Linked DNA regions of Neodiprion lecontei. The protein of the gene in region 2 purifies or fractionates together with the protein of the main gene of each other region. This does not show direct contact. Links are inferred from orthologs where the notes say so. Each region holds a gene or a part of one and is shown on either strand. Other genes may lie near its edges. The genes, in order: myosin-2 essential light chain and unconventional myosin-Va.

Region 1 (3,412 bases), about 370 kb from region 2:
ATAGGTGAACTCACCAATTACTGGAAATTAAACTTGGCATGATGTCTTCGTTTTTACTACGTTCAAAATTACTCAACGCCTGACTGGCTCTAATACTCATACTTCTTCTTTCGTAAAATCTTGGCGGATTTAGTTTAACTGCGTCGAGCAGAATTTTGTTTTCTTCTGGAGACACTGAGCTAATACTTTTCTTGCTTGCTGCGCTGTTGAGCGTACGTGCGATTTGGAGCAATGTGGAAAATCTCCCCGAACATTCTATCCTTGTACGTGTACTCTGACGTCACCGTCCGATTACGAGACTGAGACTGCGCGTCGCGCATGCGCATAAAACGAGTTGTTTGCCAACTACGACGGAGACTACGAATACAGACTGTCGACACGACAGTGCCGTAATCACTTGTAAAGTTACGAATGATAAGTAGCGGAAGTATTTCGAAAAACTTTCTGAAATTTCGACGAATTTATCTTCTACGGTTGCATCTCGATATTGCATTCGACATAGACAATACAGATTTCGACGTGCATTATTGAAGTGTTTCGTGAGAAACTAGGTAGAACCTAAGACTTCTGATAGTAACAGTCTTTGAATATCTTCACGAAACAAATAGAAACTAATGCAGATGCACGGCATAAACTAACTGTTGTCAAGCTTATATATGTGAAACACAGAAGTTTAATAATCTAATATACGATAAGCGTAATGTTCTATATTTATCTCACATCAGATAAATTTTCTCTGTCCTCGCACATTTACGATATGAATTGGTAAAAATGAGAATTTGCAAATGCGTACTATTCGTTTATTATAAATAATGTAACAGCTAGATATTTGAATGCAGAAACAAGATGTTTTACAATCATCTTGAGTTACGTTTTTATTCCATCCAGATAGATTTAAATATTACGATTATACATCGCAAATGAGGAGCATCGCTGTACCTCAGAAATATTCTTATTGATGGCTATTTCTCAGCCACTAAGAATGTGTACGATTCAGATTTAATCAATTGAATTATAGCACGGAAGATTGGTTCGACATAAAGGATATTCGGTCAAGGCACCACACTTTATTAGCTAGATTTCTATTCAAATAATTGAGTTGATTATCTCTCTTATTAGTTTTTTTTTCTTTTTTGTTTTGTTTTTTGTATAATATAAAAAAGTTTATTTTACTTGTGATACAATAGCAACCGATGAATGGTATCCATAAATCGTTGTTGCAACATTTGCATCTGCTTCGAATGTGACATATAAATAAAAATCAAAGATATTTATTTCTTTTTAAATACTTTTGAAAACAATACGAAACTAATAAAAAATGAGTAAGCAATTACTGCATAAGAATATAGTGCATTCAGCCGCACATGATTTGACGAACGAAGTCTTCATAATTAATATTCCCTTGTGAATCCTCATGGCCAGCTAACAGGGTCTCAACTTCTTCATCACTGAGTTTCTCTCCTAAATAATTATGAACCATTAGTAATTATCATGCTCCTCAAATATACGAATAGACAAAAAATGAGTACGGAGATATAACACACTTTTTAGTAAAAATATTGTTTGAACAATTTTGTTGACGTTGAAAATAATGAAACGATCTAATAAATCATATTTTATTTTTGGTACGAACAATCACTGCTGTCCAAAATTATTTTCAGAATCTGTCAGAAATATCTATGAATTAACATAGTTCAGAGAAATTTATAAAAAATATTTAAGAGGAATTTGTGAAAAAAAAAGAATTTTGCCATGTAGGTCTCAACATACATCAGTTGGGCAATAGTTTACATACCAAGTGTGGTTAACAGATGCCTGAGTTCGGCGGATGAAATGTAACCATTTCCATCTTTGTCGAAGTGTCTCAATCCCTCAATGAAGTCATCAGCAGTATCGGAGGTGCGAGACTTACTAATGGCTTGATAAATGGGCAAGAATACCTCGAAGCTAATTCTCTCATCAGGCTTGTGCTGGTGAGTGAACTTTTTGACGTCTGATTCCGTTGGATTTTGCCCCAAGGCTCTCAGGGCGTCGCCAATTTGAGCAATGTGGATTTTTCCATCTCCGCGGCTATCAAAAAGCTGGAACGCCTCTTGGAATTCTAAAATATTATTAATAAATGACAATAAACAAACCAGATGAGATGAAAAAAAAACAATGTTGCGAATTTTTTCCTGCAAATCCGATAATTCTATCTTATAATTGCAAAAATAAATACTTTTACATCTAGAGCAAAGAAATTTGTGATTAGATTTTACAAAATCAACAAAAATTGAACCTAAATCTAATAAGTGCGTCATTATGTCCATCCTCAGGAGACAAGTAAAGATTGGAATTTTATCAATACTAATGACGTCACTGAGCTTTACAAGTAAGGTAAAATTATTAAGTTATATGATTTACCCTCAACAGATGACATCATCCTGTTGGAAAGTTCTTGATAACTGTATCCATACATCTTTGTATGTTTATGTATATTGTGAAAGATTAAGAGAACAAAAAGAAATCAATAAAAACAAAAAACAGCAAAATTGATGAATTTTCCAGATATTTTTCGTAAATTTAAATCACTCTTTGAGAAAATAGTAGGTCATGGACGTTAAAATTTAAAATCTGCGTTCAAATTCGCGCAAACACAACGATTATTAAAAATTGAATAGAAACATGAAATTAGGGAATAATACAAGGCGAAGAATTTAGGCGCGGCTGTTTACGTTGTCAGCTTCATGAGATAATCGCGAAAACTGAACTCTCGAGCCAGGAATGAGAATAAATTGTCGATGTAAGGAAGAATATGGGAGAAGCGTCAGTATAACAGAGGAACGTTCACTTTCAAAAGTCGAGCCATAAAAGGTAATCCTCGATAAATAGAAGCGGGGCGTGTCTAAAAAGGCGAAGGTATTCTTGACCTGAATTAACGTAAAGAAAAAAGAGAAAAAAATATCTGCCCTCCTTAGTATGATACAGAGAGCTTCAGTCACTCACCGGCCAGCTGATCCTCTGAATACGAAGCCTGGAACAAGGGCACAATTTATATACATATTTCTTGTCTATTTCAAACGAGTTGGTGAATTATTTTTTTTACGTCAATATGTCAAAGCGTTCCTTACCATTGTGCAAAGTACAAGTTCCTGACGCGGAATACACGCTTACTACCAGATGCGTGTCGTCGTGCTGACTAACCGCCAACCGCTCGCTTCTTGCAGTCACAACGAAACGTTCGTGACGTAGGCAGAATGCCACACGATATTCTTTATCACCGGAAGTGACTAATCCAAAGTTCAAATTTCTCTAAATATTGTACAATTTTTGTATCAAATTGCTACAAATACTCGATGAAAATATCGGCGCAACTGTTTTTATCGTTCAGAATGCTTCAAGCCGCTACAAGTAACGCTAAGCATTCCTTGGC
Region 2 (3,939 bases):
AAAATTCGCGGAGGAACAGATCGAGGTCAAGTTTTCTATGCGTCTATCTACGAATACGGATTTCATGATCCGCACGTTTTTTCTTTACGATATATATTCGAGATTCAAAATATTCGTCTGATTATTTCCTACAGATTAGAAAAAAAAAAGAACAAAAAAAAAGAACGGAATTCTCTCAGTTTGGTTTATTATTCTTAAGTGTATTCCAAAAAATTACCAGGATTCGAACACTTCGTGTGCACAGTAATAATCAGATACCTTTCCGAACGTTTTCATACATTTTCAGCCTTTCAAAATAAGATTTGAAAGAGAAAATGTTTTGGTTTTTTTTTTTTTTTCATAAAAAAATATAACACTGATTATAATTCGTCACGTGCGATGATGGACATTATTTTTATGGAAAATTTGCAGAATCAACTGTGCTCACTTCAGAATTTTAAATAATTTACGAATATTTTATGCGTCTTTAAAATAAAATTATTTACAATTTATACATATATGAAAATCTTCTGAATTAAATTTCTGATAATACCGCAAAGAAATATTCTTTTAATTTTTAGGATCGTTTGAAATTTATTTCGAAGTGATGAAAGTTTTGTGAGTTTATCGAATCATTTACCAATTGTTGACAAAGATTGTTGAAAAAACATTTTCACCAGGGGATTGCTTCAAATCGTCGGAAATTTTCAAACACAGCTAAATAAGTTTGGATGTCCCAATTAAGTCGATACAATTATTGTTAACCTGACATTGAATGCGTTTCGCAGAATACGCGTTTGCGAAATTTAAATGATAATGTTTTACATCAAATTTGAAGACGGTTAAAATAACCATGTTCGACATCGGTGTAAGACTGGTTTATTTATTCTTCATCCTAGATTCCAGAATACCAAAGCTCTGAATGGACGAAAAAGCTCTCGCGTCAAAAACGTCAATAACTCATCTGGGTCACACTTTCCTCTTTAATTTCGTGGAAATAGTTGGTGGAAGAAAACGAGATTTAATGAAAACTATCTATAAGGTTACAGTTATGTTTTTCGAAGTATAGAAATAAATTTATTGTAAAAAGAAGCAGGAGAAAAATGTAATGAAATAAATGTTAGCCATATCTTTTGTCCTCTCCTTTTCAAATATTTATTTACTACCTATTAAAACTGCTGAATTTCATTTCACAATTATGCATTTTTGTATTAAAAATTGATCACTTTTCCAAACACTCTGTAGTTTTATAAAAAGCAAGCTTCTTCAAAAACCTACCTTGACATTTTTGTCAAAATTCGTTATAATACTTTAACATCATCAATGGGTATTGTAGATTGATTCCGTAGATATTTTTAGTACAAATTCCAATTCCAATTTCTTGAAAAAATTTACACCGTATTTCGGATCCTGGACAATGGAAAATAATTGAACACCACAAAAATGCAAGAATGAATCAGATCCTTGTTAAAATATAGTATGAAATAGATTTCAAATATTCTCAAGCTGCAATTGAATCGACCAGCTGCGTAATCAAGGCATTGGTCAGAACATATCAATACAATGACTAATTGCGAGCGATATATTATTTTCCAATCGGTGGACGATGAGCGGAAATATGGATCGCCCAATTGAGCCTAACTCAGAATTATAAACGATAACAACAATAAGCGTGTAGAGAAAATAATTTCGGAGCAAATCGATATCGCAGCTTTCCTCGCGAATTGCACCTAGGTAAACATCTCGTCATAATATGCGGGAGTATAATTCGGCCGGCCAGCTGTGTGTGCAAATTCGAATTTTCTGTCTTTCGACCGGTTCCGGTTTTATTTCTGTTGTTCCACGGAGACTGCGAGAGTTAAACGCGTCAGTCGATCGTGTCGACAAGACGAATTTGTTTTTCTCATATTCCGAAAACCGTGTTCAAAAGTCGAGGATGAAAGTGTACGGGCGTGTGCGAATGCGATGAGAAACAAGCGAACAACGAGAAACCTAAGAAATATATGAATTGATCGATTAATTTTGCATCCGCGAATTCGATCCACCGTTTACCTTAACGTATAATTCCCTTGTCGTCATGGTGGCGATGGATAAGAGTCCAATTTCCGTTGCTGATTCTCACTAAATTCCATTAATCCCTTGTGTATCCTCCGCGTAAAGAGCGTCACAACATTTTGGAGCGCGAAGGTTTCGTTCCGAGTTCTTTAACACGTACAAAATCGACACCGATTCTATCGCGACTCACTATCAGCCTTCGGATGGCTTGCGACTCACAGCTGGGCTTGTGGCTTACTATCGGTTGGCATTGTACGCCTCATGCTCTCCCCACTTCCTCCATTCCTCTCCTTTCCTTACCCCCCCCCACAGTAGCCTGGTTTCACACAGGTGATGAACCTATCTACAGCGACAGGTGTCGCGATCTGTTTTGACTCTGCCGAAGTCGATTGGGTCCAGAACGCGTCGATATGGACTCCAGCGACAACAGACGTTGGGTGTATCGACTTGCATTGGTGCAGGAAAATGCAGGAATCTGTCGAAGTATTCTTACAAGATACGATTAGCACGAAAACTTTTCTTTGTTGCGTATTTTCATCACACATTTCGTTCTGTTCTTTCCCATTTTTATTCGACATTTTTTTATTTTCGACAATCCTGGACATACCTATGTATCATGTTACTTCGGAACTAAGGTGTCATTTGGTGGCAGTGAATATGCAACACTAATTGTGATGGTGTCGTAATTAGTGTATTTGAAAGTGTTTTTTCACCGTATGTTTTTCTCTATGTCGATTTAGCGACTTAAAATCAGAGTCGAACAACTTAAACGACGTTTTCTGCGCTCCGTTTAATTAGCCTCAAATTATCAGCTGATCGCTCGACGCGACGCCATATTGTTCTAAACCGAATATCCCAATAATAGCAATTTTCGAGCGATCAAAAAATGAAGGAAAGAAAATTTTACCGACAAACTTGATTAACTCAACTTTTGTATACAATATACAATAATCACTAAGCTGCAACCAAAACATCTGTCGTGTCAATATTCAATTTGTTTTTTTATTGACAAACTTGAACGCGATTCATTACACGTTTCATACCTACATCTCGATATTATAAATGTTAAATAGGTACACACGCAATGATGAATAAAATAACCGAGAATATGATGGCAATTGTTTATCGAAATAGAGTAGAGTGGATCTGATTTACAGGTGTATAATTCATTAAATGTCATTGATTAACCTCACTTCAGTTAATTTTCTAGCAGTAATAATCGGATAAAATCATGTCTGAGCAATAGTGAATTGTATAATAGATAAATACGTATTGGAAGTGAATCGTGTGACTTGAAAAATGGCTTTCTTTCAATTGACTTTGAAAGCTAGGCGGCTTGAGCAAATGAAACTTCTGTATCAGGATGAGAAAATGAGATCTATAGAAGTTTCTAAAGGAGCCAAGATCCATTACACATTTAGGCAGAAGATTCGTTACAAAAAGAAACTGTATGTTATCAAGTCTAATATGCCGAGTAAATATTTGGTTATTTTTATTAGTCACGATTTGTCAATCGTCCCAAGAAATTGAGTCACTCGAGATTAAAGTCCAAGACATCGGTAGGAAAAAAACCCAAACAGAAAGAGGGAGCATTGGACAGCTTGGACTTTACTGTGATCAAGCAGCTCTTCTTCATTGTTATATGTGTATATGATTTTTGGAAGCAGAGTTACCAGTTGCTTTGCATTGGAAACCGCCGTTTTACGAAATTATCCACTCTGATTCAAAGTCAATTCGTCGTGGGTTCGTCAAAAATGTTAAAAAAAAAACGGCGGAATCTCCAGCTGCTTTTCCAATGCTTCCTCGGTCAATGCATTTTTTTGTCGATTTATTGGACTTTAACCCTGCTGCTATGATCTATTGCGACGATAGCAAATTTAAAAAAATGTTCTTCCCGCCTCAGAA

The links.
Region 1: the proteins of unconventional myosin-Va (region 2) and myosin-2 essential light chain purify together in Drosophila melanogaster (affinity purification with mass spectrometry; 3 studies listed by BioGRID, with this or other methods). This does not show direct contact. The link is inferred for Neodiprion lecontei from reciprocal best matches to the Drosophila melanogaster genes didum and Mlc-c.

The regions. Positions count from the first base shown.
Region 1 is NC_060261.1:12,128,031-12,131,442, reverse strand, and holds myosin-2 essential light chain, read right to left. Parts: upstream 2,459-3,412; coding exon 2,404-2,458; intron 2,102-2,403; coding exon 1,796-2,101; intron 1,462-1,795; coding exon 1,355-1,461; 3' UTR 829-1,354; downstream 1-828.
Region 2 is NC_060261.1:12,493,130-12,497,068, forward strand, and holds the start of unconventional myosin-Va, read right to left. Parts: upstream 2,288-3,939; 5' UTR 2,059-2,287; coding exon 2,032-2,058; intron 1-2,031. Other genes in the region: DC-STAMP domain-containing protein 2-like, read left to right, coding at 3,379-3,482.